3 linked regions of the Rattus norvegicus genome follow. The protein of the gene in region 1 interacts with the protein of each later gene in a biochemical or structural test. Links are inferred from orthologs where the notes say so. Each region holds a gene or a part of one and is shown in the gene's direction. Other genes may lie near its edges.

The links.
Region 2: of the proteins of Hdac5 (region 1) and Sik2, one has a biochemical effect on the other in vitro, tested with the Homo sapiens proteins (2 studies listed by BioGRID). The link is inferred for Rattus norvegicus from reciprocal best matches to the Homo sapiens genes HDAC5 and SIK2.
Region 3: the proteins of Hdac5 (region 1) and Zbtb16 form a complex in vitro, tested with the Homo sapiens proteins (2 studies listed by BioGRID). The link is inferred for Rattus norvegicus from reciprocal best matches to the Homo sapiens genes HDAC5 and ZBTB16.

Annotation. Positions count from the first base shown.
Region 1 is NC_086028.1:87,672,716-87,678,333, reverse strand, and holds the start of Hdac5 (histone deacetylase 5), read left to right. Parts: upstream 1-1,764; 5' UTR 1,765-2,301; coding exon 2,302-2,452; intron 2,453-5,618. UniProt on the Homo sapiens protein: Responsible for the deacetylation of lysine residues on the N-terminal part of the core histones (H2A, H2B, H3 and H4).
Region 2 is NC_086026.1:60,210,956-60,215,920, reverse strand, and holds part of Sik2 (salt-inducible kinase 2), read left to right. Parts: intron 1-112; exon of another isoform or gene 113-237; coding exon of another isoform or gene 238-273; intron 274-2,722; coding exon 2,723-2,839; intron 2,840-4,788; coding exon 4,789-4,852; intron 4,853-4,965. UniProt on the Homo sapiens protein: Serine/threonine-protein kinase that plays a role in many biological processes such as fatty acid oxidation, autophagy, immune response or glucose metabolism.
Region 3 is NC_086026.1:57,898,313-57,903,277, reverse strand, and holds part of Zbtb16 (zinc finger and BTB domain-containing protein 16), read left to right. Parts: intron 1-3,697; coding exon 3,698-3,868; intron 3,869-4,965. UniProt on the Homo sapiens protein: Acts as a transcriptional repressor. Transcriptional repression may be mediated through recruitment of histone deacetylases to target promoters. May play a role in myeloid maturation and in the development and/or maintenance of other differentiated tissues.

The DNA of each region.
Region 1 (5,618 bases):
ACCCTGTCTCAAACAACAACAAAAGGGAGACCTCCTTTGACATCAGGCTAATCTAGGGTCCCAGGGGCTTTGCTTTCAATTTGTCATAGCTGCTGTCCTTCCCTGAGCAGGGCTCCCTTGTCTCTCTCCTGTGCCTGGGGCAGGTAAGAGTGTGCCAGGACAGGGCTAGCCAGCCCTTCTGGTTGTTCTCAGCGTGGGTGGGTGGAGCTCCGTCTGGGAGGGGCTGCTACCCCCGGCTTTCTGGGCTCCCTTGTGTCTGCCTCTGACTGTCCTTGGTAGAGCCTCTGGTCTTTCCTTCTCCTCTTGAGAGACCTCGTTGATCTGGATGCAGCTGGGGGAGGGGCAGTAGATAGGTGATGTTTTCCAGCACCAAGCCCCCGGATTGCACAGGTCTCCTGCCTTTCCTTCTAGAATCTGTCGTGACTCCTTGCTCTAGACTCCTCCCACTTCAGTTCCTAGTCTACCACTGGGAAACAAACCCCAAACCCCAGGGTCATCTGCATCTCACTAGGCTTGGAAAAGCTTGTTTCTACCACCACCCTGGTGTGTGTTTTCCCACCTGAGGGAGGAGGCAGAAGCTTGGAAGATGGGTTTCTGGAGTCACAGCCTCCATGTCCTTGGTTGGACTGCTTCTCCCAGGCTCCTGACAGGAGGGTGAGGTCATCCAGTCCAGAGAGAGGACAGGTGTCCCTGGCTCCGTGCCTGGAGTGGGGGGCAAGGAGGGGGCAGGAGGGGTCCAAAATAGTAACTGTGACGTCAGGAGAGGGGAGGAGGCTATAGACCCAGGAATAACCAGTCTATTAAAAGGCTCCAGTGAGGTCAGGGGGCCAAGTGGGATCTCTTTATCAGTGGGAGGCACAACTCGGGAAGAAGGGGGAGGTCAACAGTGCGTGGTGCTGGCAGTGGCATCAATTTTGATGGTTCGGTGGCCCCATGGCCCAGGAAGGTGGAGAGCTGGGGCTACTCCACCAGGCCAGGGTGCTAACAGCTTCATGACTAGCTGGAGGGCCTCCAACCCCAAGTCTTTCTACTTGGGCACTGGAGGTCCTGTCCCTGGGACAGATGTATATTCTGCCCATGAGTTATGGTGGTCAGTGCTTCAGACTTCTAGTCCCAACCAATCCCGTGAGCAGCTCTATGACAAGAGTAACTTTCGTCTTCCTGTAACTCAGCTTCCCCATCTTGGCCTCTTTCTGGTGGTCATTGTTAGCATAAAGGCAATGATGTTTGCGGTTTGTGGTGCTCTCAGCTGGGTACATTGCCAGGAAAGCGTTGATTGAGCTGAGAATGGGCTGGTGCTGACCAGTCCCCTGCCTGGGCTGGGCAAAGCCTACCCAGAAAAATCTCTCTGCTCCCTGAAAAGAGGCGGAGTGCCAGAGGTGGTACTAGAATGGGTGGGAGAGCTGCCACCCCACTGCTATTTAGGGTCTCCCTGATAGTAAGACTGTAGGGAGGCATCTCCCGGCTCTGTGGGAAGGCAGAAGTTACACAAACTCCACAGGCTGTAAGGAGGAGGTGTGAGGTTAGACCAGGTGGTTGGGTGTCTGTCACCTCTTCCTAGTCTTTCTGATTCCTTTCCTCTGCACAGAAAGGGGGAAGATAGAAGATCCAGGCTGGCTGCTTGCTGTCCAGTTCATTGTTTGCCCCCAGCAGCAGTGGCCAAAGCTGATCCCAGAAGCATGGGTCCTCTCCTGCACCTTTCTCTAGTTCAGCCACTGGCCACCCAGGTCTGTGGCCTTGGCCCTGAGTGCAGGCCTCCCTTGCCCCCCTCCCCCTTGACTGGCGCTTCCTCCTGGGGTGGAACGCGCCTCCCCCCATGGGGCCTCCGCCAGGCCTGGGCTCCTGGCAGCCAGCCGGCGGCTCCCTGAGCATGCTCCACCTATTTATAGACAGGGCCCTCCCCCAACTGCTATTTCAGTCTCCTGCCAGCTGCCGGCGGCTCATTCGGGGAGGAGGAGCAGGGAGCCAAGCCCAGAGCTGTCACCGGTGGCTCTGGGAGGGAACACTGAGAGAGTCTGCCTGCCCACTGAGCTCCCCTTCCTGTCCCTTGAGCACCCAGCCATAGCCCAACTCCTGGAACCTTTAGACGGACCTCGGTCCATGCTCCCGTAGTGGAGAACAGGCCTGCAGCCTCTTCAGCCTCCCTGCGCCTGCTGCCTCGGGAGCGCCCAGGCCGGATGAGGTGCCTCCTTGCCTTGTGGGTCCCAGCGGCAGTGGCCTGAGGGAGTCCTTGAGCAGCCGGCTGGCCCTGCTGACCACCTTTCCCTCACCGGCTTCCGCCTCGGGCGGCCCCTCCCTGGCATGCTGCTGGTGCCCAAGGCACAGGGGCTTGTGGAGATGCTGCAGACCATCTATGAGACCGAGTCCTGTTTCTCAGCAGATGGCATGTCAGGCCGGGAACCATCCTTGGAAATCTTGCCACGGACTCCTCTGCACAGCATCCCTGTGGCAGGTAAGTGGCTCTGTGTCCCCACCTGCCCTCAGCTCTTGGGCATCCTCGCACCTGGTTTGAGCACCCCACTGTGAGTGTTGCTCCCTCGGGGTTCTGCTTCAGCCTTTGAGGGTTTTGTTGAGCATCCATGGATTGGAAGAACTGAGCGGCTAGAGCAGTTTTCCTTCCCTCCTTGCCCAGGGCCATCCTCTCACGCTGCCTCCTAGCCACTGTCTCTCCAGTGCCTCTGCCTTCAGCAGGGTCAGCCTCAGCTGCTAGGGGCTAGGGCTTCCTAGAGAATTCTGGCCTAGTTGGACCATGGTCAGAGGGGAGGAAGTGGGTCAGTGACCGATCTCCAGGCTGCCTTGCTCTCCCCACCATTGAGCAGAGGAAGAAGTTGTACCTGGAGTACCTACAGGAATCAGAAGCCAAGCTTCTGTGGCTTGGTTTGACCTGGTCAGAGTGTAGTGACTTTGGCAAGTTTCTGGTCTGGAGGCTTCTTAAGAATGGACACTTAGGAAGAGGCTTGTTGGGATAGGGTTGAGCAGAGGCTAGCAGCTGGGGTGTTTGAGGGTTTTGGCTTAGTTCCTAGTCTAGTTCCCTCCTATCTCTTCCTTCCCGGGGCTGTGGCTTCTTCCCACTTTCTGAGGATAAGGAAGTGTTTCTTTGACCACAGGTGGGCTTGAGGACCTCCCTTGTAACCTAAGCATGAGGATTCCTTGCCCTGCCACCTTCTCTGGGGAAACTTTTTTGATCCTTGGTAGGGGGTGGGGTCCCCCCAAAGCTGGCCACTCCTTCGCTCACTCCCAGAAACCTGTTGCCACCAGGCGGGCAAGATGCTTCCTCCAGGGAGGGACTTGCTGGACCCATGCCTGCTTGGCCCCTCCTGGCAGTGGCTGGCTTGGTGAGAGAGAGAGAGAGAGAGAGAGAGAGAGAGAGAGAGAGAGAGAGAGAGAATGAGAATGAATATATATGTGTATGTGTGGATCTGAAGGTTTCAATTAGAAGGTGGGAGCTCTGTTTCTCTCTGGTGGGTACCTGTGATTTGGCTCTCAGCTGTCCAGGGATAAGACTTCAGTAGACTGGGCTGTGTCGGAAGGATGTTTTGGGAAGGTTTGGAAAATCCTTGGAATGTGATTTGCTGTCAGCTTGGACATAGATAGGGATGCCCGTCCATTCAGTGTCCTAGTATAGGGCATAGTCATGGAGACCAGCTCTGCAGTGTGCCTACCAAGTCCCCGGGATGGAGCCCAAGAGGCTGGTGCTTGTTCAGGACTAATGGAACTACAGCTCTGTCCTCAACCCCCAAACCTGGGCCTCTGCATGTTCATGGGAACTCCTGGGAGGTTAAGGGATGTAGAGCATCACCTAGGGTGGCTTCTAGCTGGTCACCCATTCTGCAGTGAGCTACCAGTTGGCCCCAAGTTCCTGCTGATTTCGTCTTCTTTGCTTTGGACACCAGAATCCCTGAAAGTTTGGGACCACATTCTTCTATCCCTGGATATATATACCCCAGCCAATCCCTCTCTCTAGATCTCCACCCCCCAGCCCCCCCTCCAACCTGGCCTTCAGAGTGTGGTGCAGTCCCTGCTGGCAGGAGGGAGGTGTGAGTCACCCCAGCAGCTCGGGGAGAGGGCTAAGAATGTTCCCCTGAGCAGTTCTGATGCTGTGTCTGTGACGCGGCTGGGGACAGATATAGGCCTGGAGCTTGGCTGCTTTTTTTTTTTTTTTTTTTTTTGGACTCTGGAATGTAAATAGTCGTTTCAAATAGAAACACTTTAACCTTTGGGTTAAAAAAAAAATCCTCCCTAGATAAACATGGCCGTGAGGGCCCAGAAGCCTGGTGTTTCCCTTCAGTCCCTTTTCCCCTCATGCACCCTCTCCTTCCAATTTCTTGAGCAGTCTCGGGACAAGGCACAGAAGCCTACAGCCAAAAAAGCCCGTTTCCAGGGGTGTGTTCTCGGATGACGTTGCTGGTGTCCCCCACCCAAGGGATTGGAGAAGGGGCCTTCTGAGATGCTAGCTCTCTGTCCCTTAAAGCAGCAAGTGCTGGGAACTCTTATTTGGGGGCAGCTTTTGTTTCCTCTGCTGTGTTGTTGGGTGCTCATTACCCCCCCCCATACACACACACCTAGCGCAGTGGGTGGTACTTAGATGAATGAGTGTTGGATGAGGGGGTGGAGGCCCAGCCCTCTGGCAGGATGCCTGGGTGCTATTTTGGGGCTTGACCTGGTGGCTGGATAGAGACAGCTACAGTGGGCACCTAAGGGTAAGAGAGCTCAAGAGGGGCAGAAACACTCACTTAGCTCTTCTTGATTAAGGAAGGGGAAAGGGACCAATTTTCCTCCCATTGCGTGTGACTGGCTGTGTCTCTGTCTGGCTACCCCGTCACTGCCCAGTGTGCAGTGAGCACCTTCGTATACTAGGCTCGGTCCTAGCTTAAGGCTCCTGGGACCTTTGATTCCACTGTGAGATTCCCGATGACCCTGAGCGGGGCTCCGACTTCCCCTTGTCCATTTCTGCTTGAGCTGAGCCCTTGGATACTGTGAACTGTGAAAAGGAATGGCAGAAGAGGCTTCCCTACCAGCTGAGGGAGGTACGGATCTGGTTTGTGCCAGGAAGGAATGCTCTGGATGTTGGGAAGTCCCATGAGGTTCAGGTTTGCAACCGGGGCTTTCCCTGGCTGTTCCTATTTAGGTTCGTGAGGCCATTCCAAGCATGGCTGTGTGTCAGGAATGTGTAGGTGTGGGGATGCCAGGAAGGTAGGAAGGGCAGGACTTGAGTGGAACTAATATTGTAATCCACGAGGCGACAAGGATACTCGGGACTTTCCTTACTGGTCCCTTTTAGGAAGGATGTTACCCACATCCCATAGTGGAGAAGGGTTAGAGACATGAAAGACTTTACCCAGAGCACAGATTAAGTAGCAGCTAAGCTTTGAACTCAGGTTTGTCTGGGTGGGGCCGTTGTTAACCCATACAAAACCTTTCTCTTAGATTAAAAAAAAAAATAGTCCTTTGTCTGGGTGGGTGTGTCCTCGGACCTAGTGTCTATGGCTTAGTAACCAGAGCATGGGCTAGATTTTAACTGTTTGTCCCTTCAGTTGGGGACCCATCTGCAGTATCCAACATGTACAACCTTATGTCCTTCTAAAGTCTGAGCTCCTAGAGAATAGGGCTCATTCTGG
Region 2 (4,965 bases), on another chromosome or scaffold:
AAGGGGCATTTCATTGAAAACTGTTTGTTTAAAAATGTGTAAAGTTCTTTAGACAGATTGAGAGATGCATCTTAGGTAAATTAAATTGGTGACAATCCTTTTATGTTTTCAGTTCTTGAAAGTTCAGAATATCCAGTTTCACCCAGTTACAGGACTCAGGCCTACTCATTATAGCCATTGGGAAAAAGCTTGGAGAAGAAACTAGGCATTCATACCTCTACTCTCAAAACTTAGGAGATGGTGGTGCAGAGCCTCCTAATTCACTTGTATTTGGTATGTTTGAAATAAAATTGATATCACTGTACATATAACCTATGTTCTTGTATTTCACTTGTTAGTAACAAACAGTTCCAAGTCTTAAAAAAAAACACTGTCTAAAAACATCCACTGTAATGGTAAAGATGGTCCAAACCAAGATTGATGAGGTGTAGGAAAACAAAACGCTTCTTTAGCAATTGCTAACAAATAGAAAATAAGGGAAACTTTTGGAAATAGTTTGGGAGATTTTTTTTTAAGCTTTAAATCGTATCACATACAACAAGAGTCAGCCTTTAATCATCTGCATTTACCCTAAAGAAATTAATGCATATGTCCATAAATGGAATGTGTCATTTGTATATAGCAGCTTTATTCAGTATAAAGCAAAACTTGAAACAAATGCAGAGAGAGAGAGAGAGAGAGAGAGAGTAAGTGCGCGAGAGAGCGCAAGCGCACTGTGTGTAAGGCAGTGGTTTTCAACTTTCATAATGCTGCAGTCTTTTAATACAGTGGATACCCCCAACATAAAATTGTTTTTGTTTCTACTTCACAATTGTAATTTTGCTATATTGCATTGTAATGTAAATGTGATATGCAGGGCATCTGATAGGTGACCCTGAGAAAGGATCATTCAGTCTCCAAGAGGTCACAACCCACAGGTTCAGAACATCATTTGGAGACATCTTGCATGTCACTACCACATTGTATTTAACTCATTTGCTTTTCTAAGCGTAAAGTTCAGCTTTCTCTCTTGCAGTACTCTGAGTGTTCCAGAGGATATTCTTTTGCGTACATTTGCATACCCGATTGTTTCCTCAGAGCAGTTTCAATGTGGTGGAATTCTTAGGTGAAGAGTCCATCCATTACCTCTCTCAAGGACACAGTCTCCTCTGCAAAAACAGTACCCATAACTCCTGTTAGGAGAAACACTTTGAGGAGTACTACTCTATAGGGTTCTCCCTCCTCAATGGACAACATTTCTTCATTTGTATGTCTTCGTGACTGTAGTATTACATGATAGCTACTTGCATTTTTCTTGTAAATTGCTTTTTGTGACTTTGCTTCTCTTTTAATTGCCTTGTTTTTTGCTGTTCAAATGTTTTAAAGTGAGGAGTTACTTTGCACTACTTCTCTAATGGTCATGAAATTATTCTCAACTGCTTATATTTTCATTTTTAAGTGATACATTTAATTTATTTATATAGAAATCCTTGTCACTAATTCAGACTGTTCCTGTCAGGTTCTTTTTCAGCATCAGAGTCTTCAAATTTAATGGAATATGTGATTTTTTTAAGGTCCTTTATAAAAGCTGTTAAATTGCTTTCTAGAAAAATTATGCCTTATTTATATTCATATAGAATTTCTACGAAATATTGTCTGCATGATCAAGAGGCCAAGAAGGTTCATGTGGGTATCTACTTTTCAATCTTTGCTAATATAAAAGTGAAAATGACATGTTTTTGTTCGTTTTAAATTCACATTGTTTGAATGTGTGGTTGAGGGGTTAGCTCCTTTATATAGGGTTTTGAGTGATAGCAGTCTTTCTGATTTATCTGGTATGTTCCTCTCCTACATTAGAGAGGAAGTTTTGCTTTTCCTCCTTAGTGGAAGGAGTATTATTTTTAAGAGAGCATGTGTATAATCAAGAGTTAGACAGTTGAATGATTCAGTTAACATAAAAGAGGTCCTTCGATTAACAGAATCAGTTTTGGCCTTCTTGGCCTCTTGATCATGCAGATTTTTGTTCTAGGTTTAGAACTATTAACAAGTAAAAGTTATGCAGAAAAACTAAATTTATACCTACCTTTAACTCAAACAGCATTTTGTAATTTGGGGACTTTCAGTATGCTTTTGAGAAATTCCAACACTTTCTTAAAACCAGTTTTAATCATCTCACCCTTACAAACATGGTAAGTTCTCTAAAAAGAGGAATCCCATTTGATTTGTTTCTGTATCCTAGTTATAGTATTTGGCATACAGTACATGTATGGTGAGTGAACTTTAAACATTTAAAGGAAGTTGATTTTAGAACGGAAGAATTGAGGTCGTATTTGTCCATCTGTCCCCTCAGCCACCTTAATTTGCTGGAGCTTTAGAGCCTGCTGATTAGTCTTTCTTTTGGGGGCTGGAGCTAAGAAGGGCTTGGTGATTTGGACAGAGGGCCTCATGCAGGCTAATATGCGCTAATATGTAATACCTTTTCGATCTCTGTTTTATCAGCTCCTAGAACTGCTTCTTCCAGTTATTTGACAAAATTGAATGATACATGAGATAAAATGCATTTAAGTATCTTGTAAAGTTAGGAAGTGTTATGCAGTTGGCAAAGTTACTGTCCTTATTACTGCACTTCTGAGACATTCTTGGCAGATAGTCCATCAGGCTCGGCAGAGATTCCTTGATGATCTTACCTGGAGACTATTGAGTGTTATATATTAATTGTATTTATGTGTCTTCTGGACTGCAGGTGGCTATAAAAATAATAGACAAATCTCAACTGGATGCAGTAAACCTTGAGAAAATCTACCGAGAAGTACAAATAATGAAAATGCTCGACCATCCTCACATAATTAAACTGTATCAGGTACGGCTTACCCCTGTCTCTCCTTATGCTTTCCACATCCAAATGCCTGGTCTTGTGATTTTACTTGTGTGCTAGGTTTCCTAGTGTACTTTAAAAAGGTTTCTGATGCTAAGTCTATCCCTTTCTATATATTTAAATTTGTAAAAATGGAACTAGGACACTACTTGGTAATATAACTAATAATATAAAAGTTGTCTTTTAGACTATGAGCTAGCTATTTTAAAATTTGGCAGTTATACCTAAACTTGCCTGGTTTGCAAAGGTAGTTGCATCATAAATAAGGATGTCGTACACATGGTTTATTTGAAAAGATTATGTTTATGTTTTATGAAATAAAAAGGCTAAAATAGTATATTACATAGAGGCAAACTTTGTAATACCTAGAGTCATAACTTTTCTTATTGTTTTGATGAGTCATAAAAGTAAATTTTTTTTAAAAATCAGTTTTATTAAGAAATTTTGTAAACTGTGTCTGAGTTTAAGCTATATGTTTTAAAAGGAATGTTTTCTCAGATTTTTAAAGTAGTATTTCATATTTAATAATCAACAAACTATCTTTAAAAGTTTCTGTTGATTAATGTACCATATATTTCGATCGAAAATGACTTTTTAAACTGGAAGGTCCTGGTAGCCGGACCTGTGGCTTTGACGCCCTGTGATAGGTGCAGCCATGTATGCTGTACTCAGTCTGTTTTCAGAAGCTCTGTGAGCTGATGGACATCACATTAGGAACGCAGTCTCAGCGAGTGTATAATGTCGTAGGAATGGCATCAAAGCTCAGATCCCTGCTCAGAAGGCCAGTTTTGGCTGTCACACCACTGCACTCAGGTGGGCTACCCAAACGTATTGGGATTGTAAGAAAAGGTTTTAAAACTTAGTTTTGTTTATTATGTCCTCGAGTGCATTTTATACAGGGCACACATACATAGTTTGTTCTCTGTCTCTTCTTCTCCCTCTTTCTCTATGTATACATACACATGTACATATACTTATATACACATGTACATGTATATAATTATAAACAATGCTATTGTTTGACAATTTCAACTTAAAAACTTGGAAACCATCAACTTATGATAAACCTCCAAAGTGTGTAAGAATGTGTATGTTGTGCCACTTACAACGGTTACTAAACATTGCTTATCTTGAATCTAAGTTAGGTGTCTATTCCTATAGTTCTAAAATTCAAATTGCTAACAATGATATACTTTCTTTTTGAACCTAGAGAAGCTAATTTAAATGAAAACAGTAGATTTATGAATAAACAGCTTTATAATTTCAGGAAGCTGGAGAGATGGCTCAGTGGTTAAGAGCATTGGCTGCCCTTCCACAGAACCCAGGTTCAATTCCCAGCAACCACTTGGCAGTTCACAACTGTCTGCAACTCCAGTTCCAAAGGACCCCTCACACAAACATACATGCAAGGCAATCAGCAATCCACATAAAATAAAAATATATAAATCATTAAAAAATAAATAAGATTACAGTAACTTGTAACTATTAGATAGAGAACAGTAGAGAAGAACATGGATATCAGGTTGTACTGGCTCAGCTCGACTACAGCCTGGATAACACAGCACGCAGACTGAAGTGACGAGGCAGTGGGAAAATCTGCAGAAGTTCTTATTCCCCTCCTTACACTTGATGTGCACACGAATCACTTTTGTTAAAATGTCAGTTCTAATTCAGTAGTACTTCAGTCAGGCCTGAAACTCTGCATTTCTAGCAGGGACTAGCAGCTGCTACTTCTGGACCATGGACTCACACTTAGAACAAGATTCTAATATCTACCAAAAGAATGGCATGAGTATATACTGAAGCCTGTAAATGGTTCTGACTTCTCAACTCTTCACAACTTACTCTTTCGCTTATAATTTTAATTTGTGCAGCTCTATAGTATGGTAAAGTAGTCCTTCCTGCCTGACTAATGTGGGATCTTTTATCAATAGGTGATGGAGACCAAAAGTATGTTGTACCTTGTGACAGAGTATGCCAAAAACGGAGAAATTTTTGGTAAGTTTTTTCCTTTATTTTTTTTTTAATTTTTTTTGAACTTAAGAAACTTACTGGCCTGCATAAATGGTGTACTTCAAATTAATTTTTCTAATTATTTAAGAATTGATAAT
Region 3 (4,965 bases), on another chromosome or scaffold:
ATTCCATGACAAAACCAAATTTACACAATATCTTTCTACAAATCCAGCACTACAAAGGATAATAAAGGGTAAAGCCCAACATAAGGAGGCAAGCTATACCCTAGAAGAAGCAAGAAACTAATCGTCTTGGCAACAAAACAAAGAGAATGAAAGCACACAAACATAACCTCACATCCAAATATGAATATAACAGGAAGCAATAATCACTATTCCTTAATATCTCTCAACATCAATGGCCTCAACTCCCCAATAAAAAGACATAGATTAACAAACTGGATACGCAATGAGGACCCTGCATTCTGCTGCCTACAGGAAACACACCTCAGAGACAAAGACAGACACTACCTCAGAGTGAAAGGCTGGAAAACAACTTTCCAAGCAAATGGTCAGAAGAAGCAAGCTGGAGTAGCCATTCTAATATCAAATAAAATCAATTTTCAATTAAAAGTCATCAAAAAAGATAAGGAAGGACACTTCATATTCATCAAAGGAAAAATCCACCAAGATGAACTCTCAATCCTCATCTTCGATTGGTTTATATACAAGTGTGCAATTTCTAGGCTTGAAAGTAAAATGATGCTATTTGGTGCTGGATAGAGGAGCCTTATTTTTTATTATGGCAGCTTGCTATTTTTGTAACATGGTAATTTGGTTGAACACAATAAAGTACAGTAGTAACTGATCTCCCCCTCTTCCTGGATGAGTGAGGAGATGATTAAATGTTGATGTCAGCATCCATGAGCATATTCAGATGAGCTTCTGCTTCTGTTGAAAAGGATGCTGTGTTTGATTGTGGTCCGAAGCTTTGAAGCACTACTTGGCATCTCCTTCCTTGGAGGTCTCACTGTTTAAACATAACAGATTTGATAGCTTGTTGGTAAGGTGAGGTCCAGCTTGTCTCCACTAGGTCATCTTCATGGGAATCCGGTGGTTATACAGTTTTGTTCTAGGGATATTTCATTTTTTAATAACGGTTTTAGCTGACATTCATGGAGAGAATGAATCCTTAGAAGTGTGCCACTAGTGAAAGGAAATCCTGTCTAGAGTATGTTTCTTTACAAAGCTGTGTCACACCATCCTTTGGGCCCTCTGCTGGAGAAGTAGAATCAAGTCTCAAATAATGCCTTTTAAATTGTATCCTCTAGTATTATAGATGTAGGACAGTACTGTATCATACCTCTGTGGATGTAAAATAGCTCGTACCTGCTTTATGATACGTAGTAGTGACCGTGCTTTATCAGAGCTGTTTTTAATGATGTTGCTCAGAAAGTTTTCTTTCCAGATGATGATTGAGAAGCTAATTTAAAAAAAAATGGTGCCAGGTACCACAAGAGTAACAGAACTGTGCTGTTTTCTCGGGTTTTGTTTTTTTACTTTTTTTTTTTTTAATGGAGTGTGCTGGATGTCTCTACAGTTTTGTTCAGATGACTGCAGAACCTGGAAAAGCTGTTGCTGCTGTTGATGCATAACACACTGCTATTATTGGTCTTTTTATATAAATATAAATATATATATACAGATAAAAAAAATAGATGGAGAGCCATCCTGATGTTAACCTCTGGCCTCCAAACACCCCGTCACACCCGTATACCATACAAAGGTACACGGCTACACAGACTAAAACCTAAAGATAAATAGATAAATGGGATTCAATTGGTGTTTTCTAGAATCAAACGGACCAAGGCATTTTCTAGATTCCCTGCTCTGCCTCTTTCTCACTGTGTGACCTTAGGCAAGTTATTTAATCTCTATTTTCCTCTTTGGAAGAAGGTGGGAAGGATGCCTGTCTGGTAGGGATGCATGTTTTAAATGTGGTGACAGCACAGATAAAGACCTAGCTGAAATGGTGGTCTTTAGTCCCTGTCCCCCTGCCCACACACACACACCTTTGAGGAGGTGGACGGTTCTTCTGCCATGCAGCCCTCCTGGCTGTTGGTAGACAAGCATGGCTGCAGGTAGTTTCGGTGTCTGCAAAGACAGGAGCCAGTGGTTAAATGTGAGAAGAGAGAAGAGAGAGGATGGTGTTGGTCTAGACTGAGCCGTGTGTGGTCCTGAGGAAGCAAGACCCAGCCCTCCCACTTGCTGTTGCCATTGCTAGTCAGGGAGGCAGCAAAGCTCTTCCTGTCCCTTTCCTTCCTCCCTTACCTGTCCCCGGGAGCTTCTCATGCCACCCTGAGCAGCCCAAGACTTTCAGCAGCCCAAATGCTCTCGTGCCCTTTCCTCTTTGGACTAGACTGGCAGATCTGACCTGACTACCTTTTTTGTTAGTGTCCCTCACCTAGGAGACAGCACTGTGGGACTGAGCACAGACCATGCCATCCAAATATGGGCAGAGAGAAAAGCAGATGGGCTTGTGTTGGGAGCTAATGTTCTTAGAGACATGGACTCCAAAATGGCAGGCAAGGAGCTATGAACTGAGACTCAGCTGGAAGACTGTGTCAGGAAGGTTTTGAGGAGTGGAAAATAGCAGCCTGCCTTCGTGGGCTTCAGTAGGGCACCTAGGCTACTGGGCCAGCCAAGCATGTGACTAGGTAGAACTGAATGAATATTTCATATGACTCACTAGTTTGAAATCCTTCAACAGCTTCCCATTGGTCTTAGGATGAACCCCAGGGCTTGCAGTATGGCTGGGCAGGACCCACATGATCTGGCTCCCAGCTCTTCCTTTCACATCCTCCCTGCTTCTAAAGTTAGGACTGGACATCGTACTCAACCTGGTGTGGCTCTCCCTGAGTGTTCAAAGACTTGGTGCACTGTGTGCTGGGTGGTGTTGAGATCAGAGCAGGGACTAGTACACTCTTCCATTGTTTCATCTCCAGAACCCCAGAGAGTCTTCCTTGTAGGAAGTATCAACAGTACTATTTATGAAGTGGCTCTCAAGATGCCTGATTTCCTAAATGGGAAAGTGGTTGTAAGAACGTGGTCACTGGTGGCAGCGGTGGTGGGCGGTGGGGTTGGTGGGGGAGACGGCAGTGGCAGCACGCCGTACTTGAACTGCAGCGCTCAGGATGCAGAAGCAGGCAGATCTTTGAGTAAAAGGCCAGCCCTGGTCTACAGATAGAGTTGCAGGACAGCCAGGACTACACAAAGAAATTCTGTCTCAGGGGTAGGGAGAGGGGAGGGGAGGACAGTGGTCTACAGGTAACCCTAGGGAATAAGTGAATAGATCCCTTTGCTGCTCCCAACTGGGAACCCTATGGAAATTGGTGTGGGTTAATCTCCCTGTGCTTCTCTCTCCTTATATGAGGTTTGTGGTTTTAGGTGAGTTATGTCATAACAATGGCCAACCCATCTGATCCAGGTTATTGTTGGTTCACCTAGAGTCTAACCTGTCTTTCCACTGCTGCCTCAGACTCTGTAAGTCCCCGTGGTCACACCTTTAGTCCGCCAGCTTCTCCTGCATTGCACTCAGACCCTTGCAGAGACACATCTGTGTTACCATCCACGTGGTTTTCTATGCTTCTCTCCAAGCCTTTAGGTCTCATGGAGGCAGGGCACCATTGGCACCTTTCCTCTAAGCTACGTTCAGGGTGCTCCGTCAACGTCACGTGGCCTGGGTTGCCCAAGGCAGTTTGACTTAGAGTGTGGGGTTTAGGGTTTCTAGGGGCGGCTCTGGGTCTTGCCCCAGCCTTCAGGGATGAAGATCTGGCCTTGGGTCTCTAAGTTGCTGAAGCTCTCCCATTGCTGTCTCCTCCAGGCACGGACATGGCTGTCTTCTGTCTGCTGTGTGGGAAGCGCTTTCAGGCACAGAGTGCACTCCAGCAACACATGGAGGTCCACGCAGGCGTGCGCAGCTATATCTGCAGCGAGTGCAACCGCACCTTCCCCAGCCACACGGCTCTCAAGCGCCACCTTCGCTCACATACAGGTAGGCTGGTCCAGGGGATGGGTGGGAGCATCTCTGGACCTTATATCTGGGCTTCACCTCCAAAAATACATGGTGTTTGTGTGCAGGGGGGAGGATGTTTCAGGTTGAAGCATTCTCAGCCATTCTCTGCTTGAAGTTAGACACAGAAGGGCTCCCATAGAACATTTAAATGTTGTCAGTTTTCCCAATCTACCACCCACCCCTCCACCTGTAGACATCTGTTCCCAATCTTTCCACACACAGCACAGAAAATATTCATTAAAAGAAAAGCGTACTCTTGAGGTTTACCCTCGGAATCTTTGGTTCTGTGGTTCGGGGTGGGCTCTAGCTCTCAACACCACTAGTGAGTATTCCCAGGGGATTCTGATAGTGGAGGTGGGGAGTTGCAAATTGCATTTTGAGAAAAACTGGCCTAACTATTACAATCCCACGATTTCCCCCAATCCATCCTAGAACAGCAGTGAGGGTCAGCTCAAGGCTCCAGAGGATACAGTGAGGAACACATCCCACCTCCATAGCAGACACAGGAGGTCTCACTGTGACCGTAATGTTCTCTAGGGAAGACAATGAGTATTTGAGCATGAGATAGCCCTGCCCAGCCAGTTCACACGATGGAGTGAAAGACAGAGTATATGTGAGTCACGTAGGCGGGCTTAGTTGCCCAGTCCTGGCCTATCCTTGCCACCACCCTCTTGCTTTAGGAGATAGGATACCCAGTTCAGAGGGCCTTGAAGGAGCTGTTGGTCTTTTCCTATCTGAGGAATAAATGATTTAACTCCTTTCTTTGCTCTAAAACAAAATGAGATCATGTCTTACTGTCCCTGAGTGAAAGAATGCCAATTCCTGAATTGCATATCTGTCTTGTCTGTTTCTCTCTCTCTCTCTCTCTCTCTCTCTCTCTCTCTCTCTCTCTCTCTCTCTCTGTATATGTGTGTGTGTGTGTGTGTGTGTGTGTGTGTGTGTGTGTGTGTGTGTTCCTGATCTGGTTTTGCGGGAGAGCTGATCAAGTCTCTCTGTAAGGATATAGTGGAATACATCCACAACATAAATGCTCTGCACGCTTCAGGGAAGCCTGGAAGAACTTCTCATTCTCAAGA